Rhinolophus ferrumequinum: one gene and its partners. The protein of the gene in region 3 binds, or shares a complex with, the protein of the main gene of each other region. Links are inferred from orthologs where the notes say so. Each region holds a gene or a part of one and is shown on either strand. Other genes may lie near its edges. The genes, in order: RBL1, RBL2, MYBL2 and E2F4.

Region 1 (7,525 bases), about 5.1 Mb from region 3:
CAGAACTCATGCTCTAACCAACTGAGCCATCTGGCTGCCCCCCTTTCTACCATTTTAGTTTTATGTTTCTTTTTTAACCAGTTTGGCAGAGAAAGGTAAGAACAGAATGGAATGATGACAAGGGAATCACACATAAAATATTAATCCTATCTTGCACAACATAAAAGACACTCATTTTTATGAGGTAAAAATTGGGGAAATTATTTACCCCAATCTTTAAAATGTTATAGTAAGTATAGATGTCTATCTTAGCAGATATCTCAATTTACAATGCTACAAAAAAAGGTGACATTTGGGAATTGAACACTTAATCCTCTGACATAGACTGGAGATATCTCCAAGCTAGAATCACTTCATGACTTCACTGCTGAACTATACGTGAAATTTAAGAGTTAGACACAAATCTCAGAGTAACAAATAACTGCTCCTATTACTGTTCCACAGATCCTCTTTAAGACTAGACTCTAGAAGGATAAAAAGATTGATAGATTTCTTGCAATAATCCGAAAGGGGTGGACAGAAATGGGTGGCCGCCAATAAAGTTAAACTAAAACCCAGTGTTCCTACATTAAAGTAGTGAGAAGTCTTATTTGCTCAAGGCATTAAATGAGGCAGGTAGTCTTAAGGCTGTATATTTTTAGAATCCTTGAGTAATGAATTATTTGGAACCAGTATCCAAGAATTATAGAGCCTTTGGATACACGCTACTAGATGAAAACAACATTAAGATAAAGAATATTTAAGTACTGGAATTACTTTTTCCCTATATTATTTATTCTAATTCCTTGATGCTAGATCTTAGAAATACAAACAGTTTCTGACCTCAGGGAACTCCAAGTCTAGAGCCAAGAAGAACAGATATTATTATCTATTATTGGTCAGATAGATGCTGTAAGAAATGAAAATAACGTGTTGTGGGAAAATACAGTGTAGTGAGTATAATTTTGACTAGAGGTCAGGGGAGGATTCACAGAGGGAGACTTAAAATTGGTAAGTGGTAAATCACCAAAATGTAAGGAGAGCAGGGGAAGAGCAAGGGAAAATGTATGCAGGAGATGGTCAGGTGGACTAGAGAGGCGTAGGGGCTGCAGGGAAGGGTTCTTACGAAGCAGCAGATATATGAAGATGCCTACTGCAAGAGTCTTCACCATAAAACAAACAAAAATGAAAAAAGAGAAAATAAAACACTGTGGATAGAATCAACACTCATGAAATCTTAATTCACACATATGGGCTTTCTAAATCGAAAATTTAAGAGGTCCTGATCAACTCTGCCTAACTGGAGATCTAGCTGTTCAATCTTCCCTGGAGTTGTGAGTGAGGGAAGTTTCCCAGTACAGGGAATGGCACGGAGAAAGCACACAAGTGGGAACGAGCTTGGCATATTCAAGAATCTGAAAGAGGTGCCTAGTTTAATGGCCTGACTACAGTTGGCACTCAGTAAAAGCTTATTCACTAAGAGACTAAGTGAGGACCTGGGATGTCAGAGATGCTTTCTCGGGCTTTTAAAAATCAGTTGTTTTCATTGAGACAATAATTCATAACCTTCCTTACTTTCTTATTCTTTCCCCAGCTTTCCAGTCACGTTCCCCATGGATGCAGATCACTGTCTTTTACCCAGTATATCTAGAGCTACTATGGAGACATCCAAGAGTCTTGGGTACTTTTCCCTTATATATAGACACGTACACTCAACTCCAAATTTCCAACTCTGCCTTTAAATCCATCAATTAATTATTTCACTGGGTGGTGAGTCAGTGGAGCACTCTACCTTTTGAGTCCGGCCCCCTAGGATCATGAAAGCCTTTGAATATAAGGCCACTGGATTCATTGCTGAAATACACTCAATCACAATTCTATCTGTACACTGGGCTTATGCTTGCCTTAATATTATTACCTGGAAAACAGGTGTAACACTCCTTTGCCATGTTCACAGGGCTATCGTGAGGACTAAACCCAAGAATGACTAGGAAAAATCTAATAATGATTGTCTACATTTATTTTATGTCATGGCCTGATATTGTGCGAAAGCATCAGGATAATCTAAGTATCCCCATCTGAGAGAGGAGGAACCTGGAGCTGAGAGGTAGCACTGTATGAATGCACATTGGTTTCAAAGTGAGTAACCCACACTTCCGCCCTAGGGAGGCGTAAGGGTGGAGAGGTTAAATGGCTCGGACTCCTTAGTCTGGCTCCACCACTAACCACGTGACCTTGGGCAAGTAACTTAACCTCTTTGGAGCTCAGCTTCTCATTGAGAGAATGGGGATCACAGAACGGGTTCAAGAGGTTGTAGCCAGAACTAAGTGAGATGACATACTTAAAGCGCTGGGCAGTGATGTCTTGGCACACAATTCATTTTAGCTTTTCTCATTATAGTATTTGGTTTTGTAATAGATTTAAACGCAGTAACGTGACGTTTGTGGCGCTTGGCAGGACGGGGGGAAGTCTGGTGTGGAGTCTATGGGACCCCCTGAGTGGCGTGTGACCTTGGGCAAACCCCTCCTTTTCCGGACTTCAGTTTCCCGCCTCACAAAAAAAAAAAAAAAAGGATAGCATGATCTGCACTCGCCCTTCCAGCTTCGCACTCTGCAGCGCCCGGCTGGGCGGCGACCCTTCTCGGTGGGGAAACTCCCACCGCCCCATAGGGTAGGGTAGGGTAGGGGCGGGGCGGAGGTGGGGCCTGGCGAGGGTCGAGCCCCGCCGTCCCACCTGCCGCCGCTCACCTCTAGGCTGTAGTTGCCCCGGATGGCGGTGAAGTCGTCCAGGGCTTCGGCCGCGCTTCCCTCGTCCAGGTTCAGCTCCTGGCACAGGGCCTGCAGCGCCTCCCCGGCCGCGGCGACCACCGTCGCCCCCTCCGCGTGGGGATTGTTCTGGAACATCCCCTCAGGCCCGGCGGGCGGCGCGATCACAGCCCCCGGCTCCTTTCTCCCTCTTGGGCGCCCTACCCACAACTACCCGCGCCAAAGCGCGCGAAAATCGGCCGTTTTAGAGCGACGTCTCTACGATAGTCTGCATCCGCGTTCTAGCCGAAAAAGTCCGTCTCTCCTCCAGGGCTCCCAGCGGTCCCTCTCAGGAAATGTGATTAGAAGACGGACCTCGGGTGCTGAAAAAAACCTGGTCTTGGCCCTCGGCAGGCAGCTGTGGGCACAGCTGGCAGGACAAATTGGGAGCGGAGGGATCAGCAGTCCGCGCGCAGAGTCTGTTGGGAGTTGTAGTCCATATGCTACCTCGAAGCCCGCGGCGCCACTCTTGTCTCCGCGGCTCTTGGGTGTGGGATAGGGCTGGGGCTATTACTAGGTGGCCTTGTTCATCTTAGGAAGAAGGCTCCTCTGTCCCGCCAACGCATGGGCCTGGTTTGTTACTGCTCTGCGGCGCCAAACAGTCTGAGACTTACCCCTTGTGTTAGAGATGGAGTAGGGAACCGAAAAAAGTGGTCCCTTGACAGCGGGGGAGTAGGGGGTGGGAATGGGGGGCTCGTTGGAGTCTCCTCAGTGACTCCAGCGCCCAGCGAGTGGTCTGTTGAATGACTGAAGGGTTGATGAGGCAAGGATGGTCGGAGACACCTCGCCATGTCTTGATCGCTAAATGAGGCTTGATCTGGACTAAGAGAAATGCAGTAAGGGGGACCTTTCTCAGCTCCCTGGGCCCTGGGAACCGTCCTGGTAAAGACAGTCTTTCCAGTATTAGGAATGGCCTGAGCATAAGCCTGAAGGCGTGGAACTGGTCTTGAAGCTTACCCTCTGCTCCACCAAAACCCCCTCTTCATGAAGAGCCCGAGTGATCTTTTTAAAGGTAAATCAGAGCACGTTAGTCCTTCACTCAAAATTCTTCAATAGGTTTGTCTTGCCTTTAAAATATCCAGGCTCCTTTGTATGGCCACAAGGCCCCATGTGATTTGGCCTCATTCATGTTCTCCGCTCCCTTCCCAGGTATGTAATAAGGTCCAACCTCACTGCTTTGTTTTGGAACCTTGAAAATGCCAAGCTACCAAGCTAAGTTCTTACGTTAAGGCCTTTGTCACACACTGATCAAACAGCCCCAGATACTCTACACCAGATCTTTGCTTGTCTGGCTTCTCCTCATTCAAGTTCAACTATTAATTGTGGCCTTCTCAGGCCATCTCTGAGCACCGTACCTAAAATAGCTGACCCTATCTCCAACCCCATTTGTCTTCATTGTACCTTATCACTATCTGAAATTATCTTGTGTATTCACTGGCTCTTCCTACTCAAATGTGAGTTGCATGAGAGCAGGGGCCTTCCTTTCATATTCACTATATTCCGAAGTTTAGACTAGCGCCTGGCTGGTAGTTGGTACTCAATACTTAGCATGTTGTATTTGAGAAATTACAAAGAGCCCATTGTTGCTTGGATGAGGGAAGAGGTCACCAGAGATGGAAATGGGACAGGGCAAGGTAGGTTGCAAAGCCCCTCATATGCTCCACTAAAAGCCTGGACATTATCAGTGAAGGTTTTAATGAAAGGTGATGATGAATGGTCGGTGTTTTGGACAGGTTCCTCTGGCTGCGGTGTGACACATGGATTGGGTGGGGTAGAGACTAGAGGTATGGAGATGGCAGAGGACTGGTCCAGTATACGCAGGAGCCAACCTGGAGACAGGTCTCTGGCCTAGAACTGAAGGGGGGCACTGCTGAAGAGGAAGGAGCCCCTGTAACACGTTTCCATCTGGGCCAAGAGGGTGAAAGGTGATGCTGTGAACTATAATGAGAGTGTAAGCAGAGGGATCAGACCAATTCTAGAACTGCTGTGTTTATGCTGCGTGCGGGAAGTTTAAGGAGAGACTGTTGGACTCTGGAAGGTGGCCCTTTGGGACTAGGGAACCAGCTGCAAGCTGGGTCTCCAATGAGTAAAAACTCAAACTCCCCCCAAAAACTCAAACTCAAACCCAACCACCCATGTGGCACGTCCAACTCTGCTCCCTTCTAGAAGCTACTGCAGTTGACTGTAGGACCATCTCATATTCTCTTGTCACATAGTGTCTGTAACAGACTCTCCTATGAGTTTTTGCTTAGAGGATTGGTTATGGGCAGTTGTAGGGAGGTCTATCTCCAGTGCCCAGGGGTCTGTAACGGGTTATCAATCCTCCTAACTTCCTTTCCGATCAGCAAAGAGATGTCAGGATTAGTGCAGGTGAGATGGATGCAAGTCCTCCTGCAGTGGTTCATTTGTTTCCTAATAAACCTACTGTACTTATTTAAGAAAGCATTCCAGGAGTGGGGACACAGACTAGACAGGGAGATTTTGGGAATATTCAGGCAGTACATGAAGCGAAGGGAGCAGGTTCGTATGAGGGAGTGTGATGGCATGAGAAAAGACTTAAGGGTGGAATTCAGAGATGGGCAGAATTTGGGGAGAAAATTTAAAAAAACCTGGCCAGAGAGGTATAAAAACAAGAGCAGTATTTCAGAGGTCAGGAAATAAGTCCAACATTGCAGAGAATTCACATAGGATGAGGAATTCAAAGACCTCATATATTATCATTCATATATTTTTAGTGACCTTTGCCAGAGCAGTTTTCTTTAGCCCACTGGGGCTGGAAGCCGTATTACTATCGCCAAGAGGCTAAGGGGAGGAAGGTCAGAAAGTTGAAGCAGGAAGTAAAAACTTCTCTTTAAGAAGTTTGGTGGAGGAGAGGCAAAGGGAAGGGTATTTTCTAGGATGGGGAAACACAAAAAAATGAGTCTTCCGTATGCAATCCTGGCTTTCACAGCGGGTCGTGGACAAGATCACAAGAGTTAAGAAGCCTCAGGTTTTTTTGCCTTTGCCATAACTAATCAATCTCTCTCTCTCTCTTTTTTTTTTTTTTCCAGATTTGAACTGCAGAGGGTGATTCTGGCCTTGAAAAGAAACCAATACAAAAGGAAATAGCTGTCAGGGATTATAAACCAACAAAACCAGGGACTCATCGCCCCATTTTTCATCTCTCTAAAGAGATGGTTTGGATTTCAGTGAGTTGCTGTATATGTATTATAGCCCATTTCTTCTCTGCTATTAGATTTCATCCTCCTGATTCTTTTCCCAGTTCACGCATACTAACTCCTAAAAAACATTTCTTCATTCCACAAATGTTTATTGAGTGCCTCCTGTGTGCAAGATACTGATTCTTCCTTTGCTGTTACTTTCAGATCATCCAGATACAAACTGAGGGGCATGGCTGGCTTGAAAATGATCCAAGAACAAAAGAAACAAACACCTCTCAAAGGTCATCCACCAAACAAACAAAAACTGAGAAACATTAAACATTATTCTTTTTTCTTCTCTTCCGGGCTGAATCTGGACTCTCAACTTGGACTTTGAATAAGTCATATCCTGTCTATGTAAAGTCTTGCATTTTCATCTCCCATCTCTTGATTCACCTGACCTGTTACCCTTTACATCCAATCACTTGCTTCTGTGGTTTTTTCCTTTTGCCATGTCGTCATTCTCAGACTGTCCTGAATTGAATTATTAGAAAGTATAGGCCTTGGAAGTGAAGCCAAAATAAAAGGAAAATACTCCTGAGTTCCCTTATTTCCTTTAAAGCAGAATTAAACAGTACTGGCTTCCTGCCCCCGCCCCCCTTTGGATGCTACCTGAACAATGTCATTAGTTTTCAATAAACAGTACTGCTACACTCACCAAAAAAAAAAAAAAAAACCCAGCCCATGCTGTCCTCTGTGTTATCACTGACACCCCGTTCCTTCATCCTCTACACTAAATCTTGTGGATTCCTCCTCCACCAGGTTTCTAGCTGTCTCAACATTTTATGTTTTCTCTTCCAACCCATTTTATATTTAGTTACTACTCTAGTTTTTCTCAAGCAGCATTTCTAGCATGTCACTTTCTCAAGACTCTTCAGGGGTTCATTATTACCAGTGCAATCAAATTTAGGCAGCTTAGCATTGAGGACACATCTGTCAGAGCCAGCCTCACTTGCATGCTTTCTTGTTTTCCTTTGGCCCTACCTTTTTTATCAGGGTTCACGTTGGTTTTTTTTTTCTTCTTAACATCCAGTGGCATGCCCATTTAGCACTAAGCTGAGCTTTTTTGACTAGAAAATGAAGTATGGGTAGTGAAATAGATTTTACTCTGCCTTCATGTCTGATCTAGATACATCACGAAGGTTGTTTCTATTTTGATCTCATTGTGTGATCCCTTCTATGATTAACCTCCCTATTGTGGTTTACTATTTCAGAGTTCCCCAGGGCCTGTATCCAGAACCTGATTAAGACTTTTTGAGACTCCAAGACTAAAAAGATTATACTGTACACTCTCCCAAATGTAATGCAAAATATAAACAATTCTCAACAAAATAAGTGTAAGAAAGTCCTCAAAATTTTCTCGACATGGCTATTTCATTTTGACATTCGTTCAAAAAGTTTTTTTGCCCCCCAGCTTTGCTATGCCCCTTAAATAGGTACTCGATCAGTACATGCCCCTCTTAGGAAAAAACCCTAACCATCTAACTGTCAAAAAGAAGCAGTTGATAGGGGTGGAGGTGGGGCAAGTCCTGACATCATTCT
Region 2 (6,825 bases), on a different chromosome or scaffold from region 3:
AACAGGAAACTTAGAAGTATTTACACATTCCATATATATTAAGATACAAGTCCTGTGCGTGTAGTTCTAAATTTAATACCATATAATAGTTTTTTAATCTTTTCAATGTAGAACATTTCCTAAAGTTTTTCAATATCCTTATTCAGAATTCTCCAATATTATAGAATGATGAGCCACAACCTTTAATAGTAAACTCTTCATACAAGTGCCTAATATATTAAAATTTAAGTATTTTTCACCAAATAAGTAAAACATAATGGATACTAACTGAGATGTGGTAAAGGAGAGCCATGACTTAGTGTCAAAGTTCAGCACGCCATAAGTACAAATGCTCAGAAAATGATGAACAAAGATAATTCTTACTGTGGTCTATGGGCTTTTATATTAATCGCATTCTACTTTTTAAACTCTAACATAGTTACCTCTGCTCTGAACATCGCAGGATTCTCGTTAAAGATACATAGTTTCCTTCAACTGTCCCTTTGCTTACAGTTGGCACAGATTTTCTGCAAGCCACATACAAGGCACATGCTAACCAATGAAGATCATTTCCCTGTAAAAGAAAATTGATGGTTAGCTAATGAGCTATATATATTTCAACACAAAAATCTTATGTTTAAATAGAAAGGAATATTTATATATGTGTGGGGAATTGTATTTTTAATGATGGCCCTATCCCATGTGCTCTTCTAATGTGACTGCCATTCTTCCACTGAGAGGCAGGAGTCTCTATTCCCTCATTTTGAACTGTCTCAACCAATAGCACAGGCGAAAGTGATGCTATGTAACTTCCCGAGATCATAAAAGGCAATACAGATTCCACTTGACTCTCTCACAGGACCTGGGCTTTGGGAGTCCCAATATGGGAGTAGAATACCTTGAGCAAATGACTTAACAGTCACAGAAGCTCAATTTTCTTATCTGAGGACTGTGAGAATTGAATGAGTTACAAGTATGAAGCAAAGACAATACAAGAAATCAAAAGATAAAACTCTGTAACCAGTATTCTGTAATATGTAATATATTATGTAATACAGTAATCTGATATAATATTATCTTATAGCGTACCCAACTATAAGCTCCACAGGCCAGAAATTGAGTGATCAAACATGTTTTCAAAAATTATTTACGAAGCATCTATTATTTGTCACTTGCTTATATAACACTGGACTTCATAGGACTTTAACCTCTATGAGTTGAAATACCTCAACCGTATGGAGATAACGCTTGTTCTACCTAATTTACAGGATTATCCTGAGGGTAAAGTAAGAGCTTATTTGGAGGCACTTAATGCCCATCACCAAAAAAAGAGTCCTTCTCTTTTCCTGACCACAGGAACCACTGAGAAATAAATAGGAACATGGCCTATTCAGCCAGATCACCTAAGTACATGAAAGAGCTTTGCAGACTGGACAGCACTGTCCCTGAGTGCTTTATGTGCCAGAAACTACATATTACCTTATTTAACCTTCAGACGGCTCTGTGAGGTAGATACAAATCTCTCAAATTTACATATCACAGAATTGAGTTTGGGGGTAGTTAAGTAAATTGTCCAAAGTCACTTAAGGCTCTAAAGCTACTACATTACTAGCTTTTGTTTCTTCTTGTGTAGATACAACAATAGGGAGAAGGAAATGAATGAAAATCCTATTAAGGCAAAAATAAATAAAAATAACCTTAGTGACACAAAGGCAGAACTATCCTATTATAAATACCTTGATTAGGCCGTCCCATTCTGAGCCTATCTGCCCTACTCTTTCCACAACCCGTATAACAACCTAAGAAAATCATGTGGCTTCCGGTTTGAACGCCACACACACACACGCAATGAAACAGCTGATAAACAATCCAGACTTCCGTGTCACTTCCCATTGGCCCATAAAGGGGAGGTGCCTACAGAGTTGAGTCTCACTGGCTAGCAAGACCATTTTTCTCATCTGCAAGCCCCGTCTGAAGAAAGGGCCATAACATGCCTACATCACAGCGACTACGAGAGTCCTGTGCAATGTCTGTCTGGGGGACCGAAAGGTGCTCAAGGTCGTCGCCGTCCTCATTTCCTAGTGACAAATGGGGGCGTGTGTCTACACCCAGGGAGGCAGAAAGCCCGTTTCCTTCGCCCCGGAGATTTCTCCCGTTGACACATACGCGAACCCAGGCGGAAACTTAACGCGTTTCCTCAAACAAACAGATGCAACGCCTGGACTAAGGCGATGCGGTGCAGGAGAAAAAGAGCAGAAGGGGAAGGCTAGAAACCCTAAAGGGTTAATCTCGGTGCGGACACCGACAACGTCCGTCCCTTCTCCGCCCGGGCTTGACAAGTGCACCTGTTCGTTCTGCCGACCAGGTAGTTGTCCTTTTGTAACCCTCGCGGTGCTACGTTAGGGCAAGAGGTGTTCCCCATTCGCAACCCGAAAGGGAAGAACAGCAAGACAGGGTTCCCCTTTGGGAACACCAAGAGCCTTTCAATCGCCAGGTTTCCACGACTAAGGTGCACAGGGAGGATTCCCATCCGTCTCCAGTTTGGAGACCCGGAGACCAGGGACCCGCCGGAGAGTCCCGGCGAGGAGCCCGACCCGGGGTAAGAAGGGGGCCCCGTTCTCGCGGCGAGCACGGCGACTAGGCCCGGAAAGCCCCTCGCCTCCTCCCCGGGGCTCACCTCCAGCGTGTAGCTCTCGCTCATGCTCCGGTAGCTGTCCCAGGCCTCGGCCCGCGCCGCCTCGTCCATGTTGAGGCGGCTGCATAGCTCGTGGAACCGCTGCTGGGTCTGAGGAGTCGGCGACCGGGCCGGCTGCGCGGCGTCTTCAGCATCGCCGTCGTCGTCCTCCTCCTCTTCCGAGGCTCCCGCCGCCGGAGGGGGTGGCGGCGGCGGCGGCGACTGGTCGCCTCCCGATGGCATCGCGCACCGCTGGGCGGCCGGTCCTCAGGTGAGCTGAGGGCCCGGGCCCGTAGCCATTCAAACCGCGAAGCGCCCGCCCGTCGGCCACTTATGCGGCGACTGCGCCGCCGCTAACGGCGCTTGACTTCACGTAGGCACCCGTAGTTCTGAGCATGGCCTGCTGGGAAACGTAGTCTGGGCCGGAGAGCCAAGGGGGTCAAAAATCATTCCCCACCCCCCCCCAAAAAAAATCTGCTTTCGTAGTATTCTTTGGGATGAAATAAAAGCGGCTTTTCTACATTTTAAGTACCTCCCCATCCTGAGACCACTCAGCAGGACTCTACTGAAGAGAAAACGTCCAAGAAACGTTAATTGACACGTGAAGGTTTAATATCCAAGGTGTCCCCAGAAAGAATACTCATCACCTTGGTGTTTTTATCAAAGAAATAAGGTTAATAGCAAGGGCCTTTCTGGCAAAGTTCATTGTCGGTGTCTACCCTAATTTCTAGTTCTTTCCTAAGTTTAAATTTTATTTGAGCCTTTAAGTAATTATTGGATTTTCTTTTTTAAAAGCCCTCCCCCAATAGGGCCAATATACGTTCACCGTGACATTGAGTGTACTATCCTCAGTCACCCAGTTGGCTTAACTTTATTGCTTTATTTTTGTTTTGCTTTATTTTCATATCTATAGACTTGAATCACTTTATTGCCAATCCTCTAAGATTTATAAATGGGCATATTATAAAACATTTTCATGCTTGATAAGCCGTAAGTCATTGCTCAGTGGGATACTATGTAAACCGAGGAAAAGAAATACTGGGACAAAAGCAGTTTAGGGAAGCTTTAATAGGAGCAGGAGAGAAGAGGGGGAGGAAACTTGGAGGTAGGAGAGAAGGAACTAAGGAAAGGTAACAGATGCCTCACGAACAATTTTGAGACGATGAAATCCTATTTGTACACCCTGCCTTGAAATTCACGGTAGAGTTGGATTTGTTTTCTCAGTGCTGAGTTAAGATGATCAAGGGCAAGAACAGAGGTGGGACACAACTGCTTTATAAGTATTTGTAAATACGTTGATAAGAAATTTTGCTACTTTCCTTATATTTGGGCTGGGGATACTAAACTTTTAAAGAATGACATATCGCTTATTTTGGATACCATCATCAACATTTTACTAGAAGTAAAACTTAAATTCTTTTCGAGGAATTGAACTGGCAACCTTGTGGTTGAGAGCCCACTGGCCCATGTGGGAATCAAACCGGCAGCCTTTGGAGATAGGAGCATGGAGCTCTAACCCCGAGCCACCGGGCTGGCCCAAAATTTAAATTCTTTATTGAGGTAAAACTCTACCCTTTTTAGTAAAATTTAATGTAATTAATGTAATTGAAGTAAAATTGGTCATAAACCATCAAATGTCTTATTAAAATATTCTTTGCTTGTCACTATCAATATTTTCCAAGCCAATGGACTCTAAATGTCATAGCACTTTGATACTATAATGCATTTAAAAAGTACATTTACAAAACTTTCGTTTAACAATGAGCAATTTGATATCATTCCTTTTTCTCCTTTACCTCACACTCCTGTTCTATCCTAACAAAATTGTATCCTAATCTTTTGTCCTTGAAAGTCCTTTCTTGATCTTTCATATTTCCTTTCATCAAAAATGTATGTACAAAGTATCCTTCTGTTTGTTCTTTTGTAAAACTCACTGATATTAATCTGCATATGGTAAAATTCACTCTTTTAAGCGTCCAGTTCTATGAATTTTGACCAATAGTCAAAATTAATATAGTCAATCAAGATATAGAACATTTCCATCACCCTAAAATTTTCCTAGTGCCCTTTTGTAGTAAACCCTCCTCACACATCCCCAGGCAATCACTGATCAGTTTTCTGTCCCCATAGTTTTCCCTCTTTTCCAAAATGTCATACAATGTAATCATACACTATGTAGCCTTTGATTCTAGCTTTTTTCAACTTGGCATAATGCCTTTCAGATCCATCCAAGTTGCTTGTGTCAGTTGTTCCTTTCTATTGGCAAATCATATTTATATGAATGTCCCAACACTTATCCATTCAACAGTTGGTTTTTATCTAAAAAAATAAGGATAATAGCAAGGGCCTTTCTGGCAAAGTTCATTGTCGGTGTCGCTCCTAATTTCTAGTTCTTTCCTAAGTTTAAATTTTATTTGAGCCTTTAAGTAATTATTGGATTTTCTTTTTTTAAAGCCCCTAAAGATTGTTGAAAACATCTGGATTGTTTCCAGTGTTTGGTGATTATGAGAAAAGCTCCTTTAACATTCATGTGCATGTTTTCATGACAGAAATTTTCATTACTCTTGGGTAAATACCTAGGAGTGTGCTATGGGCCCAATGTGTGTCCCTCCAAAATTCATGTTAAAACTACCCCCCAGTGTGACTGCATTCAGCGATAGGACTTTTAGTAGGTAACTGAAGTTAAATGAGGTCATAAGTGTGGGGCTCTAATCCAATAGGATTGGTGGCCTTAGAAGGCCACACTCAGGGACTGAGAAAGGGCCACCATGGGCACGCAGAGAAGGCGCCCAAACCGGCTAAGACGGATTGGCATTGCTGGTTGTGTGGTAAATGTTGAACTTTATAAGACACTGCCAAATTTCTTTGAAAGTGGGTCTATCATCTTGCATTCCCAGACACATTGAAATTTAAATTTATTTCCCTGTGATCATTAGGCAGTGTTCAATTCCTTCCAGACTGAGTTATCAAATGGCTATTATTGAGAATGTGGTTTCAACTGAGTTTACAATACTATATGGGTCTCCCATAAATATATTTTTACATGTGTTGCTACTAGCAAAAACTGTTCATTTGTTTTGAATTTCCACTTGAGGATGCTATCTACCCAAGCAGGGCTGAGGCCAAGTTACATTTTACCTGGTATTTTAAGTCTCTTGTTGAGACCTGAGTTAACCGTCATTTTGTGATTAATTCCACTCAGCTATTCTTGTCCAATATGGCCTGACACTATGAGCCCCGCAGGTCGACCCCTCCTACCAGCTCTGCTTATTTTGAATGAGAATCCGTTGTGCTAAAAATTCAACCCACAGTATAAACTACAAACAATTAGCTTTACTTAACACATAGGGAAGCCTTGGTACTCTGGAATAAAAACAACATGCCCTTAGAGCCTTTTCTGTCATAAACAATTACGGCCTATGACAGTAGATATTGGGCTACACACCCTCAACTGCTTTTTATTGCTACATTTTAAAACATTTTTGTCCATTTTCTTTTCCTTCTTGCATTCAGGCTATAAGATGTTTCTTTAGACTGGGGTCACCATATGACCTGTTTGTTGGTAGCCCCTTTTCTCCCTTCTCTTTTTAGGGGAACTTGCAAACTAAGTATCTGCGGTGGTGGGAAATGTGTGTCAAGGCCCCATCGGCTGTGAGAAGGGCCTTGCTTGGAATGAAGGGCATGGACATTAATGATTGAGTCCATGAAATCAATATTGACCACAAAAGACCCTGAATAGCCAAAGCAATCTTGAGAAAGAAGAACAAAGCTGGAGGCATCACACTTCCTGGTTTGAAACTATATTACAAAGATATAATAATCAAAACAGTATGGTATTGGCATTAAAAACAAGACAAATAGATCACTGCAACATAATAGAGAGGACATAAACCCATACACATATGGCCAATTAATTTACAAGAAAGAAGCCAAGAATATACAATGGGGAAAAGACAGTCTTCCATAAATGGTGTTGGGAAAACTGGACAGCCACATGCAAAAGAATGAAGCCGGACCCTTATCATGCACCATACACAAAAATCAACTCAAAATGGATTAAAAACTTGAACATAAGACCTGAAACCATACAAGTCCCAGAGCATAGGTGGCAAGCTCCTTGACATCAGTCTTGGCAATTAATTTTTGGATTTGACACCAAAAGCAAAGGTAAC
Region 3 (6,934 bases):
ATGCCTTCTGGCAAGGATGTGTTTCCCCCAGCTTCTGATGAAAAAATTGAAACAGGAAAGTGGAAAGACTAATACAATAAACACCAGTACCCACCATTTATTTTCAAAAACTAACATACTGCCATATATGCTTTATGTTAATTTTTCTTACTGAACACTTGAAATGAAATCGGATATAACACTTTACCCCTAAATATACTTCATTCTATAACTACAATATACCATTATGACGTACTATTTAATGCTTATTCAAATGCCTCCAAATTGTCCCCAAAGTATGTTTTATAGATGTTTTTTTCAAGCCAGGATCCAGTCATGGTTCACACATTGGATTTGTCTCTAGTCTGCCTACCTCTTTTGTTTCTTTTTTTAATGGCATTGACTTTTTGATGAGATTAAATTAGGTGTCCCTCACTCTGGGTTTATCTGATAGTTTCATCATGGTGTCTACTAACTTCTCCCTTTAGCTCCTTTATTTCTTGCGAACTGGAGGTTAGGTTTAAAGGCTTGACTAGCTTTCAATTAAACATTTTTGGCAAGACTATTTCATAGGTGATGCTGTGTATAATACGAGGTCAGATTGGACCTCTATTAGTGAAATGAAGTTGAATCACTTGGTTAAGGTAGTGAGCAGGGGTGCTTTAAATTCAAACGTGAACTATTAATATAAGAATGCCCTTTAACCCCAGTTGCTGTTCACCTATGTGCACGAACTTTTTCCAGCCTCTTGAGATGAAAAAGTTAACTGACTTGAACAAGTGTTTCAAGTTCATTCTTAAAAAAAAAAAAAAAGTTACAGTACTAGTCCTAGCAGGTAACAGCATAATTTTATTACTGGAGATTTTGTTGGAGTAAAATACACCTCTGACTGGAGAAGCATTAGTGTCAAAAAGAAGAGGAGATAACAAAGAGAAAGGGGAGATGTGTGTTGGTGACAAAACATCTTTTTCTTTCCCTAAGAGCAAGGAGGAAATTTTGTGGTATCTTATGATTCATAGATCTAGTTGGCTTTCCTTAGGTTACTGTTCCCTAAAAGGTCACAGGGCACTACATATGCCTTAATGAAATTTAAAAATTTCTTTAAATAAAAAAATTTAGGTAATAACTGAAAACGGAACTGAAGGATGAAGAGAAAGAATTTCACCCTCTTCAGGCATTCAGTTCCCCTTCGTGCAACCAATATTATCAACTTTTTTTCTCCGCCTTTAAGAGACAGGAAGAAATACACACTTTAAAAATAAAAATCTTGCTTATGCCAAATTTTAACATGAAGCCTACTGTTTCACCCCAGGGCTGCGCTCCTGCAGGCAGCCCATAATCTAATCCCGGAGAGACATTAACCTCCTAAGAGTAGAAAACGGTGACAAACAGCATAAAGGAAATTTGCAGTGTTAGGGGCTTGTCCAGAGCTGCTGACGCACACGGGGAGTCATCAGGGGAGGCTAGAGGCAGAATGGGGTCTACAGGGCTCCGGGCCGGGGGCGATTACTAACCGCGAACTCCTGTGACCGCCAAAATGTCAGAGGCCGAAGATGTACCCTCCCTGCTCCCTCTCATCCGCGGAGCTTTTCTTCCTCCGCACGACCCCAAAAGGCAGGCGTCAAGGGAGGTCTCCCAGCGACGATGACTCGGGGGGCGCGGGGCTGGCGGGATCGAAGGCAAGACAGTTGCGGGGGACCAAGCTGCCGAAACCCGAGAGGCTCCAAGCGGACCCCGAGCGCAGGCGCCCCCTGGTGACGTCAGGTAGCGAAGAGACTCCCGCGATGCCCCGCGCGGTGCCTGAGTCGGAGCGCGCGCGCCTGTAGTGGGTGCTTTGTGGGCGGAGGCGTGGGACCCGCAGTCCGACAGCACCGGGTCTTAGGCCTCCGTTTCCTTCCGGGCGCCTAGAACAGGTCAAGTCACTGCCCCGGGTCGTCGCGGGCGGCGAGAGACTGATGATGCTTGTGAGAGTACGTACAGTGTGCCAAGCAACTTCCTGAACCTCAACGGACAAGCATGAGGGTAGCTGAAGAGTAATAATAAAAATAATAACAACTAAAAGTAATATAGTACTTATTATGTACCACGGATTGTTTTCAGTGGTTTATACATTAATTTATTTAATCCTACAACCACCCGACAAAGTAGGTACCAGTGTAGTTAGTGATTGAGAGCATACACTGGAGAACTAGACAGCCTAGGTTTGAATCCCTGCTTTGCCATTTACTAGCAATGTGACATGGGGGGCGGGGGGTGGAGGGGGACAGGATACTGTGTCTCAGTTTCCCCATCTACCAAAAGAAGATAATATTAATACTACCTAATAGAGTTGTTATGAGGATTAAATGGATTAAAATTTGGAAAGCATACAGAACAGTGGCTGGCACATAAGGAAAAGCTATCTAAGTTTTTGAAAAATCTTATTTTTACAGGTGAGAACACTGATGCACAGAGGAGTTAAGTAATTTGCCTAAGACCACACAACTACCGTGTTTCCCTGAAAATAAGACCTAGCTGGAAAATAAGCCCTAGCATGATTTTTCAGGGTGACATCCCCTGAACATAAGCCCTAATGCGTCTTTTGGAGCAAAAATTAATATAAGACCCGGTCTTATTTTCCGGGAAACACGGTAGTAAATGATAGAGCCGGGAATCAAACTTTAGGAAGTTTGGCTTCAGAGCCTGGACTCTTAAATACTATGGCCTAGCAATGAAAACGTGATGTCCATATGAATTACTTTATGAGGGAGGTGGGTGACATAAGCGCTGAATTAATTGTTGTGGAAACTTCTAGCACTTAAGACGTCAGCGTTCCTTCTGCGGGAAATGAGGTTTACACCAGCTGGCAGGACTGTCCCCAGGGGTCCAGCAGTTTCTGGAAGAGGGGTCTGAGGCATACGCAGGGGCTAAGAAGGTGGGGTTCAGCCAGGTCTCCCCAGGCTCCTGTCTCAGAGTTCATTTACCTTGCTTTCAGCACTCGTCCCAGGGAGCAGGGTGTGGAGGGTACTTGGTAAATGGCAACTTAAAATGGAAAATCCTTGCTAAGCCTCTAAGAGTTTAATCACCTGAGTGGGAAACAGAATTCAACTCCACAGTTGAATTCTGGGTCTTGGGGATCCTGTGGTGAATGCAGGGGCCACTTGGACATCAGTATGCCTACAGTTCAAAGGGGAGACGCACAAGTTTATAAACAGATTGTGGGCAGTGAACCCCAAGGATAAATAGGAAATAGTCAGGTGGGAGGGGCAGGAAGTGTTCCTGGCCCAGGTAATGGCCCAAGCAAACGCAAGGAGCCCAGTAAGTTTCCTATGGTAAGGGGTGAGGTGGTGATCTGGCAGAATCCTATAAACCAGATTAAGGTGCATTTTACTCAGAGAATGAGGGCAGAGGTTTTAAGTTCTGGAGAGGCTAGATCAGTTTTACAATTTAGGAGGATCTCTCGAGCTGTCAGGAGTCCATCCGAGGAGCCAGAGCCCCTGAATTCGAGGCTGGAGAGGAAGCAGGGAGACGGTTCTAAGGCACAGCCCTGGTTTAGGTGAGTTGGCCACCTTGGGGCGGGGAGGGGGGTTCTATAGACCGTAGGAGCAGCTTGGAGTAGTCCTGGGGTCTTTGCACGGATGGTATCCCCAGCCTGATTTTCCCATCCCTGCGGCTCACTCCGTATCCTTAATCTTGGCTGTGTGGGCTACTCCTTGGCGGCTCTGATTCACACATGGCGTGAGCCTCAGTCACTGGGCAGCGTGTTCAGAGCCCTGTCTCCCAAGGTGCCACAGGCCTTGTCCTACCTGCCCTGGGACTTCAGGGCTCTGGAGCTGTGCGCAGCCGGCCTGCCTGCCTACTGGGCCGGGGCTCAGCCCCGCCTCCACCAGGCCCCGCCCCCAAGCCCGCCCGCCCGCCAGCGCGCCAGGCCCGGGCGGTGCCGACGCGCTTGGCGGGAGATAGGAAAGTGCTTCTGCGCGCGCCGGCGGCAGCTGCAGCTCCTGCGAGCCGCGGTGGGACCTGCGGGCACGCTGAAGCCTTCCAGCGCGGCCCCGAGGCCCGGAGCGGCCAAAGCAGCCCGCGCTCTGACCCCGGCCCGGCTCCCGCTCCGGGCTCAGCCGGCGGGCAGGCGAGCGCGGCGCGGCCCGGGCCGGGGGGATGTCTCGGCGAACGCGCGGGTGAGCAAAGCCAGGAGGCTTAGGTCCCCTACCCACTCCCCAGGTCCCATCCTCCTCCATCCCGACCCCTGCTCTACCCCCATCCTCATCATAGTCCCTCCGAGCGGGCGGGTGTGGGGGTTTCCCGCGGGAATGCTGAGTCCTGGGCCGCCCGAGGCAGGGGGCGCGCGAAGCCGGGGGTCTCTTTGGGCCCATCGTTCAGTTTCCCAAGCCTGCTGGGCCTCGGAGCCGGGGCGGGCGGGTCTCTTGGGCCCTGGGCCAATCCCTGCATGATGTCATTTTGCCTCCCGCCTAATTTCGGGTTGGGGGTAGGACGGCGGTGTCCGCTGGAAGAGCCATGACCGGGGAGGGAGGCGACCCCTGGAGAGGGAAAGGGATTCTCTAAGTCACAGCGCGCGAGAGGCCAAACCTGGAAGACACTTGTCGTTCAAGCCTCTTTGGGTTCAGATTTGCTGGTGGGCGGTTTTTCTCAGCATTCGGGAAAGTACAGAGCACCCCAAGTCCTCTCCCCGGCCTAAGAAGAGTGCCGGGGGGTGAGGAGGCCCTCTTTTGTCCCCCACCACCTGGGATCGCGGCCCCAGCTGGGTTGAGTTTCAGAGACTTAACTGCTCCACATGAGGAGTTTTGGGCAGCTGGAGTTAAAGGTGACGGACGAGGAAGAGAGACTGATGTGTATCACGACCTCTCTGTGCCAGCAGCCCCTGGGGCCCAGGCAGGAACTGCGGTCTCCATTTTACTTATTCCCCTGGAGAATAAGTGGTAGGGTTGAGCCTGAGACCGGGTCTGTGGGCTCCAGGTGCCTTTCTTACACCTGTGTGCCTGGGGCTTGAGCTCTGGGCTTTTCAGCCAGCCTGGGAGTCAGGGAGGACAATGAGCTCCTGCCCTGTGCCCTCCCTGGATTCATGCAGCCCAGATAACCTTAAACCCCTCTCTGGATGGTGTTTGCCTTCTCAGGCTGAGGATATCGACTTGAAAAGCACTCTTTGCAGGCTTTCCCCAGAGTTCTTTTCAGCACAGAAGCATCTGATCCCTGGGCAGTGGTCAGGGTGCCTCTTCCTCAGGCCACAATTTCCTAGGTCAGCTCCACTCCTCAGGAGTTCTCTGGTCAAGCACTTGTCAGACCCTTTCCTGATTTTTGGTTCAGGGAGTGTTACTCCAAGGAGCCATAAAAGCCAGGCCTTCTGCCACTTCTCCCTGGGGCTCAGTGTAGGAACCCCCTCCTGCACTCTCACCCCACAGCCCTCCGCTTCATCCTTGGCCACTTGCTGTAACTTCTCTGCACTGGTGCCCCACTTCCCGCTCAGCTTCTGACTCACCCCACCTGGAGCAGAGCCCAGCACATCCAAGGGTGTAGAATGGGTGTGTTGGACCTCCACGTGGTTGCCACCACTGACTTGGCTTCTGCCTTTTCAGCTGGGATTACTAGGGGAGAACTTGAAAGTGTAGGTTTGGAGCCTCGCTCAGTGGACTTGGCAAGTGGCCTAATTCCAGGGAGCCTCAATTTCCACATCTATTAAGTGGGGATAATGAGAATGCCTGTGAAGTGGATGGTTAGCACTATATTGGTGATAGAAGTTTATCTCAGAATTCGCCCAGCTGAGTTGTTGGTCCCATTAAGTAGAGTATCAGAGCATTAGAAAGTGTAGAAAGACACTTCTTCATCCTTGAAGGAACATCTGCTGAGCGTCTATCAGAAGTTGGGTGCTAGGGAACCAAAGGTAACTGTCAGAAAGAGGTCTGGGGGTAGTTGATTTTAAAGCCAGCTTCATTCATTCTGTTACAAGTATCTTGTAGAATTTTTGTCTCCTACTTTGCAATGGAGGACCCCATGAATTTGGTCAGGAATTCCAGCTCCTGTGACTAATGTATTGCTGGGATTAGACACTCTTAGACCCTTCCTTTTCTACTTCTAAAAATTTTATTTTAATTGCTATTTCTTATCTACTAATAGGCAACAGCTTTGTGTGTTTATTCATTCATTTCAGTACCGGGCATTCCCTGAGCAAACATTTAAGATCTTTTGATACCAATCCCCTAAGGCTCTGCAGCTGTGGAGGTGGAGCTGACCTCTGTGTAGATGTCAAGGAGACAGGTAGCCTAAGGGCCTACATTCTGAGCTAGGAGGATTGCCAAGGTGCCCTGGGAGCACAGGGAGATACTGACTTCTGGAGAAGGGGAAAGGAAGTTGAGAAGGAAGCCCTCTTCCTTCTTTTCACACTGGGCCTGTACTTGCCTTGCCTGTTTGGAGAAGTGTAGGCTTTTCTCACTTCCAAATGGCTGACTTAGGAATGTACCTGACTGGTGACCTGACACAGGTCCCACTCACCACAGGGAGTTGGGAGCTCACTAACCGGGGCACACCTGACATCACTGGAGGTGGATAATCATTAAACCTGATGAAGATTTTAGAGCAACTTGGAAAATTGCCTGCTAGAAAATAAAAACATCAAGAATTCAAAAAGTTGATTTTTCTCTCCATAAATTATGCCTGTGTGTTCCCAAGGATTGAGAGGGGATATGCAAAAATGGGCATAGTTAGTAAGATAATGTATTTTAAAATGTTTTTCCCAAATAACCAATATTTCTTAAAATTCTGGCACTTGATGATTGCATATGTCATCAGCTTCAATCCTTAGACTATCCATGCAAGTTTACGAAGTTTTGTCACTGAAAAGAGAATATTAAATGGGGGTCGGGTTTTGAATATCACAATATTCTTGGTGAAATCTCCACTGCTTTTTCTCTTGTAGCTTTTGACATCCTGTTCTTGAAAATAAAGAAGACAATAAAAGAGCCCA
Region 4 (7,303 bases), on a different chromosome or scaffold from region 3:
ATGGGCAGCCATTAGCAGAGTCCTAGTCCTGCCCTCCTCCCCTTTCCCTATGGGAGCTGCCCACCTGCCCGCCACTTCCCACTCACCTGAAGCACGATGGCTGGCATTGGTGAGTGGTAAAAGCCAGATGGGTCTGTGTCAGGCTCCTGCTCCCGGCCCCACTCAGCTACTTCCCCATCCAGTGCTTTCTGCAGCCACTGCACCACATTTGCCTGGGGGAAGGGATGAGGGGCAGCAGGATATAGCAGGGCACTGACCCTGCTAGAGACAGTTAGACATGTGACTTTGCAAATACAGGCACACAACTGGTAGCAGAGCTTCTCTGGACCTGGGCCCCAACTACTCACCTGGACTTTGGACACAAATGTTGCCTCAAGCTGCTCAATATTCTCCAGGGTCAGGAGGGGCTCCAGCTGAGACACGTCAGCCTCAGGCCCCAAGTCCAGGCTCCCCATCATTTCTGGCCTGGTGATAGGTGGCCAGTGTCACACTGAGCCTGCAGCTTCCGATCCACCCACTTCCCATTGCCCAAAGCGCACTGACCCCAGGTACACATGTAGTGCCCAGTGCAGTAAGGTGAAGGCATCAGCAGCTCCCAGCTCAGGCCCTTCCAGGAATTGCTGTAGGCAGCGGCGCAGGCCACTATGCAGGGTGTGGGCCCATAGCTGGACCACCCTGTAGTGCGGTGGGCAGCAGGGTGCTATTAGTGCCTCAGCTCTGGCCAACTCGGCTGGTAGAGCCACCCGCAGAGCCTCCAGCCACCCTGCTAGGGCCCCTGGCCCAGGCAGCAGATGTGTCCCAAAGTGGACCTGCTCCAGGCCCTCCTGTAGTGCCCGCAGACAGCGCTGCCGCCAGTCCCGGGGGGCTTGCTCCAGGGAGGTTGTGCGGCCCGTCTCCACCTCCGCCACACGCACAGCAGCCACCAGCAGGGCTGGGTCCTCCCGTGCCAGCTGTCCTGCGGCCCCTACAGCCGCCTCCACAGCCTGGCCCAGTGCCTCCGACAGAGGGCCCAACCCCTCGAAGATTGGCAACTCCAGGTGCCCCAGAGATGCCCATGTCTCCTCTTGCAGCTGCTCAAGCTCCCGAAGGCTCACATATGCCTCCAAGAGCCGTTGGGCATCAATCAAGGACTGTGTGTGGGCCACTGCAGCTGGCACTAAGGAGGGAAAAGAGGAGACCGCCCTGGGTCTCAGCCTTCCCACCTGTGCAATGGATACAGGATCAGATGCGGAGGTCCTGGGGCTGGGATCATGTGTAAAATATTTAATAACCAGTATAGTAGAGCATTAGCCAATCTGAAAGGATCCACGGAAGGTCCTAGAGGCCTGGTGGGCCAGGGGTAAACCCTTGAGCTAAAGGAACATGAGGAAGTCAGGGATCCTGGAAAGAAGGCAGAGAAGAACTGGAGGATCATTCTAATGGCTATTCACCCACTCTGTTAGGGAAATATTTCAATTTAACAACAAGGATGGCCAGAGCCACTTGACTGGGTGTCCTTTCTGACTCAGACATCCCATGCTCAGGAACACCAGAATGAGCTAATTTGCACCCTGCTTCATATGCCATCTGAAGCCTGAGTTACTTTCTGGGAGGTTCCTGGTGTGGCCCGCCACGCAATCTCCCACTAGTGTCCCAGCCCCTTGATGGGTGTTGACTGACTATTGGATGGTTGAGGCCCAGGGCCCCTGCATACTCACCTGCCTGCAGCCGGGGCAGCAGCTGAGACAGGGCCTGCAGTTGTTTGTGCTGGCTGACCTGCTCCCGCAGGGGCTCTAGTGCCTGTACAGTCTCGACCATGCCCCGGAGCAACCCATGGGCCTGGCCCAGGGCCTCACGGGCTTCCTGCATGGCCTCAAGGCCCTGGGCCAGCTGCCACACACCAGTCTTCACACCCTCCAGGTATGACTGCACCACTGACTGTGGGAGGGAGGCAGCCAATGAGGCCTGGCCAGCCCTGCCGCCCACCCCCAGCACTCTTGCCCCCTGCCTGATGCCCACCTTCATGCGTGCTTCCAGGGAGCAGGTACGCTGCACCTCACGGCTGCGGTACTGGCCCAATCTGGCCAGCTGCTCCGGCCGGTAGAAAATGCCTGAGGCCCACTTGAGTGCTGCACCCCGGGCTAGCCGCTCCGCCCTCTCCTGCTCCGGCCACTCAGGCCCTGGGCAGGAAGAGCCTGGGCAGCCATGTCAGTTGGGCAGGGCCTGAAGGAAGCAGCTGCCGAACCTGCTCCCCTTCCTGCTCTTTAGTCTGGCCCCCAGGGTGGTCCACTCATCTCACTGACCCATAGAGCTCCAGCCAGACTTGGCAAGGACCCAACCCCACCATTCCCCTCTTTCTTGCCACATCCCTCTCCCAACCCACCCGGAAGGTCTCATACCAGGGAGAAGTGCAGGCTGCATTTCGTTCTTGGTTGTTGAGTCCATGGCAGGCCCCGCAGGAGCTGGAGCTGAGGTGGGAGTCGGGGCAAGAATGTGGGTTAGAGCAGGCAGAGTGGATGCTCCTTTGAGATGCAGGTTCTCCCTAGGCCCCTCCAAGGAGGAAGAGGGAGGTTCTTGTCCAGCCCCCTCCAGAAATGCAAGGGAGGTGGTATGACGGACAGATACCCGGGAAGCCTTCCCCTGCTGGGTTTCTTAGTTTTGCCCTGTGCAGATGCCAAGTGAGGCAGGGTAGGCACAGACCTCCCCTGCTGAGTGGCAGAGGACAGTCTGGTATGGAACTCACCAGGCCCAACCAGGCATCCAGTCCTCCGCCCTCCTCACACAGCCTTGGCCTTGAGATGGCCCTCTCCCCGCTGCCCTCACAGCAGAGCTGGACACTCCCTCCACTAGCTCAGAGGGCCTGGGTGGCCCTGGCCCACACCTCAGCACACAGCAGAATTCCTCTTCCCAAGGAAGCCTGTGTCCTACCTCCCTGCCCAGGCGCCCCTTCCTCCCTCCAAGCTCCCTCCCGCCCCAAGGCCACGTAGAGAAAGGAAGGAAACTGAAACTCTGGCATTTTATTCCCAACAGGAAAGAGCATCTGCACTGTGGGATGGGGTGGGGAGGGCAGGGCGCCACTTCCTTGGGGGGCGGGGAGTCCACCCAGGACCTCTTAGTGCTCAGGACACAGACGCGAAGCAGATGGCCTCAACCTGGGGTGCAGAGGGGGTTGTGCAACATGGACGCAGACAACAATGTCACAACATGAAAACTGTGTTGATGGGCCCCTCAGAGGAGGGTGTGCACCTCTACAGAAGAGTGAGAGATCACAGGCTGCTGTGAAGAATGCTTGTGGTAGGTGATGGCAGGAGAGGGGCCCAAGGGGTATGAAAGCTGTTTATCTTGAGAGTTAAAGGGGGCCACAGAAGGGACTACAGGGTAGTTAGTAATAATGTAGTGGTCATTGGTGAACCATCCAAATCTACCCTTCAGGACAAAGGCACTTGTTCCCCTAGTTGCCAGGAGTGTAGGCTGCTGAGATCTCACAGCTGAGTCTCTGGGTCAATTTTGAGGTACAAAGGCCCAGTACCTTTGCCTGGATGTGGAACACCTTGGAAAGGCCACCCTAGTTTCAGAGCCTCTCCTAGTAGGATGGGCTGAGGCCTCTATTTTAACTGCCTCGCAGTTTAATTCCTTCTCTGTCCAATTCTGTTTGTCTTACTTCCTTATGAGCGTGGATCCTCCAATAAAGGGATTTGCAGGCAGATCCCTGTCTCAAAGTCTGTTTCCCAGAGAACTTGATCTAAAATGAAAAATAATAAATGATAAATAATGACAATGTTAAAAATAACAAAATGATACCAGCAAACACATAATTCTTCCTACATGCCAGGAACTGCTTTAAGTACTTTACATATATTTATACACCGGTAAACATGTTTGCATAGGCTGAAAACTGGTTATAATTCCATGGTCTCTGACCACTGCAGTATGGAGACGATGAGGCTGGAATCAGGGAAGGGGAAAAAGGATGGAGACAAGTGGACAAGCTAGATATAGTTAGTGCTTTTGTTTGGCAGAAAGTGAGGTATGAAAATAGGGTGGATGACCCCAAGAAAGTAGGGCAGCTTCCAGGAGCAGAATTGGGAAAACATATTGGGTTCATTAGGCAACATGATCTCTTTTCCTAAGATGGGGGGCTGGGACAGAGTTAGTGGAGTTGGGGCAGGTTGGCCAGTCAGGAAGGTTCTGGTGGCTCCCCTTTTTCTACTGCCGGGATTGCCCACCGACTTGTTCCACATGCTTCTACACCATGTCCTGTCTCCCGGGATTTGCGGGTTGTTTTCGTCCTTTTCGGCGGTTGGACATTTGCTGATGGTCCCCGAAGTTTTGCGACCGTGCCGGCAGAGAGGCATTGCGCCAGGTTCCCTGGGAGAGCGCGGAGCGGAAGCGGAAGCAGATACGCTGGCGCCGGCGGCGGGGTGGCCAGGAACGGAAGCGGAAGTGGCGGCGGCGCCGGCCTGGCCTGGCCTGGCTGAAGGGAGGCGGCAGGCTGGCGCGATGGCGGAGGCCGGGCCACAGGCGCCGCCGCCCCCGGGTACTCCAAGCCGGCATGAGAAGAGCTTGGGACTTCTCACTACCAAGTTCGTGTCGCTTCTGCAGGAGGCCAAGGACGGCGTGCTTGACCTCAAGCTGGTGCGGCCCGGGCTAAGGGAAGACAGGGGTGAATGGTGGACCAGGCCTGGGCCGGTAGCGGGAACCCCCGGGGCGGCCCAGCGGAGCCCTCAGAGAGCAGGCCACCATCCGTGCGTTTTCTCAGAGGAAGGAGGCCGGGAGCGGTTTCATTCATTCGGCCGAGGCCATTGGGTGTCCGCTATGTGCTAGTCTCCGGGCTGCAGGTGCTGATCCTCGTGGCCCTCCCCGCCTGGTGTGGGGAAAAGAGCATCAGCATATCAGTCCAGGGTGCGCCAGGCCTCTTCCCGCCCCGCGGTCCTGAGTTGCTGTAGTGCCTGGGAGGAGGGTTGGGACCTAATCCACCCCCTTTTCAGACCGCTCCAGACCAAGTCACAAGGTAGCTGGGGGTACACCTGAGAGTGGGGTTGAGCATCCTCCACTCTCTTCTGTGTGCCAGGCAGCTGACACCCTAGCTGTGCGCCAGAAGCGGCGGATTTACGACATTACCAACGTGCTGGAAGGTATTGGGCTGATCGAGAAAAAATCCAAGAATAGCATCCAGTGGAAGTGAGTGGGGGCACCTGGGAGGGTAATGGGATCTCCTATCCAGAAGTGCCAGGGGTGGGGGGTGGAGGGTGCAGGAGAGAGCAGGGGCCATGGGACCCAGAGTTTCCCAGCAGCTCCTCAGCCCCACTCCCTGCACTCAGGGGTGTGGGGCCTGGTTGCAATACCCGGGAGATTGCGGACAAGCTGATTGAGCTCAAGGCAGAGATCGAGGAGCTGCAGCAGCGAGAGCAAGAACTGGACCAGCACAAGGTGTGGGTGCAGCAGAGCATCCGGAACGTCACAGAGGACGTACAGAACAGCTGATATCCTCCTGGCAGTCCATGCTCCCGGGGAGTGGGCGAGGGCCCCTCTAGTCATCTGGGTTTGCTCTGTGGTGCCCCGGGCTGTATCCCTCTTGGGAGGATGGTCCTGCAGCTTCTGGCCAGGTCCCAGCCTCCGGCTCCCCTCTCAGAGCTCCTCTCCCACCAGTCTTGGCCTGTGATCCGTCTCCGCATAGACCCCAAGCCCCAGTACTTCTGAGGGCTTGTATGACAGACCTCTCCTAAAGAGCTGGGTCTTCTCTGTGGTCTGCCATCTGTCACCATAGGCAGGGCCTCAGTCGTTCTCCTTAACCCCCACACCTTGGCCTACGTGACTCATGAGGACATCTGCAGATGCTTTGCTGGTGAGCAGAGCCTGGGTCGGGGGAGATGGGGGTGGGGCTGGGCTGAGCCACAGCCCTGAGCAGTGGGCTCAGTACCCAAGGAGAGTTACATCTCTTCAGAGGGTTCCTGGGGCCTGCCCAAAGAGGAACCAGGCAGGGTAAGTCCTGGGTTTGAGGGTCACTGGGATCCTGTGGAGGCTAACCATACTAAGAGGGTACAACAGTCGTGGGCTGGGTCCCTGGGTCAGCCCCCATCTGCACCGGCCCCTGGTTTTGGCTTCTCAGGTGTGATGGGCATAAGGGGGGGTGGTGTGTGCATGCTTGTATGCTGAGGGCAGTGACTCCCACTTTCAACTTATAGTTTATTGCATTATGGATACAGGAACTGTTCTTTCTCCATCTTGCACCCCACAGACTGGTTCTGAGGAAGGGATGTTGGCTTTGGCCAGAACACCTACACTTAGGGAGCAGCCCCGTCAATTGAGGAGTGAGGTGCCCCTGGCCAGCAATCTTTCGTCCCACATGTTTGAATCCAGATTTTCTGGTTACTAACCACCCCCTGGGCTCTTGGAAGGAGACAAGCTTTAGTTCTCTGCCTCAGCCACTGTGGGGGATGGGTGAGACCCCCTGTCTAGCTTCTCAGAGACTGTGATTTCCTTCCTTGCTCCAACGGACAGGCACCCCTATTCCCAGCTCAAACTGAGTCCCTGGAGCCTGACCCATTCTCCTTGTTGTTCTAGGAGACACCCTCCTGGCCATCCGGGCTCCATCGGGCACCAGCCTGGAGGTACCCATCCCAGAGGTGGGTGCTCAGACCATGCAGGCGGGGTTGGTTGAGGGCGGGTGCAGGCTGTAGAACCCGATAAGTTCCGGGTGGGGCAGGTAGGTTGAGGCCTGGGGTTCGGGGTTATCTAGGAGAACGGGCAGCCTGGGGTGGGAGAGGACACTGGTCCTGGCCCAGAGTCAGGCAGGAGCCAAGACTGCTTCCAACTCCTCCTGTCCCACACCCCCAGGGCCTCAATGGGCAGAAGAAGTACCAGATTCATTTGAAGAGTGTGAGTGGCCCCATCGAGGTGCTGCTGGTGAACAAGGAGGCATGGAGCTCGCCGCCTGTGGCAGTGCCTGTGCCACCCCCTGAAGATCTGCTCCAGAGCCCACCTGCTGTCTCTACCCCTCCAACTCCACCCAAACCTGCTATGGCCCTGACCCAGGATGCCTCACGCCCAAGTAGTCCCCAGATGACTACCCCCACCTGTGTACCCGGCAGCATCGAAGCCCAAGGGGTGACCAGTCCATCAGCTGAAATCACAGGTGAGGCAAGATGGGCATCTGGATGGAGTGATCTCTGGGGCCCAAGAGGCAATACTTCTGTATTGTGGGATGCCATACTCGGAGTTGTAAGAGACCCTATGGGGGTTGTCCCTTTCATGGCCACCAACTGGCCTTCCCTTGCGATGGCGGGGGAGCCCTTTTTAACAGGCAAGCTCTGACTGTGAAGGG

What was found.
Region 1: MYBL2 (region 3) and RBL1 share a complex: the UniProt entries of both Homo sapiens proteins name them as parts of the DREAM complex. The link is inferred for Rhinolophus ferrumequinum from reciprocal best matches to the Homo sapiens genes MYBL2 and RBL1.
Region 2: MYBL2 (region 3) and RBL2 share a complex: the UniProt entries of both Homo sapiens proteins name them as parts of the DREAM complex. The link is inferred for Rhinolophus ferrumequinum from reciprocal best matches to the Homo sapiens genes MYBL2 and RBL2.
Region 4: MYBL2 (region 3) and E2F4 share a complex: the UniProt entries of both Homo sapiens proteins name them as parts of the DREAM complex. The link is inferred for Rhinolophus ferrumequinum from reciprocal best matches to the Homo sapiens genes MYBL2 and E2F4.

What each region holds. Positions count from the first base shown.
Region 1 is NC_046306.1:18,788,064-18,795,588, reverse strand, and holds the start of RBL1 (retinoblastoma-like protein 1), read right to left. Parts: upstream 3,010-7,525; 5' UTR 2,883-3,009; coding exon 2,727-2,882; intron 1-2,726. UniProt on the Homo sapiens protein: Key regulator of entry into cell division. Directly involved in heterochromatin formation by maintaining overall chromatin structure and, in particular, that of constitutive heterochromatin by stabilizing histone methylation.
Region 2 is NC_046298.1:7,167,751-7,174,575, reverse strand, and holds the start of RBL2 (retinoblastoma-like protein 2), read right to left. Parts: upstream 3,017-6,825; 5' UTR 2,897-3,016; coding exon 2,657-2,896; intron 554-2,656; coding exon 423-553; intron 1-422. UniProt on the Homo sapiens protein: Key regulator of entry into cell division. Directly involved in heterochromatin formation by maintaining overall chromatin structure and, in particular, that of constitutive heterochromatin by stabilizing histone methylation.
Region 3 is NC_046306.1:13,696,778-13,703,711, reverse strand, and holds the start of MYBL2 (myb-related protein B), read left to right. Parts: upstream 1-3,921; 5' UTR 3,922-4,116; coding exon 4,117-4,136; intron 4,137-6,934. UniProt on the Homo sapiens protein: Transcription factor involved in the regulation of cell survival, proliferation, and differentiation. Transactivates the expression of the CLU gene.
Region 4 is NC_046298.1:16,922,204-16,929,506, forward strand, and holds the start of E2F4 (transcription factor E2F4), read left to right. Parts: upstream 1-4,303; 5' UTR 4,304-4,479; coding exon 4,480-4,614; intron 4,615-5,050; coding exon 5,051-5,160; intron 5,161-5,300; coding exon 5,301-5,462; intron 5,463-5,780; coding exon 5,781-5,824; intron 5,825-6,543; coding exon 6,544-6,605; intron 6,606-6,816; coding exon 6,817-7,114; intron 7,115-7,303. Other genes in the region: EXOC3L1 (exocyst complex component 3-like protein), read right to left, coding at 87-212, 348-465, 544-1,156, 1,698-1,917, 1,999-2,174, 2,379-2,424. UniProt on the Homo sapiens protein: Transcription activator that binds DNA cooperatively with DP proteins through the E2 recognition site, 5'-TTTC[CG]CGC-3' found in the promoter region of a number of genes whose products are involved in cell cycle regulation or in DNA replication.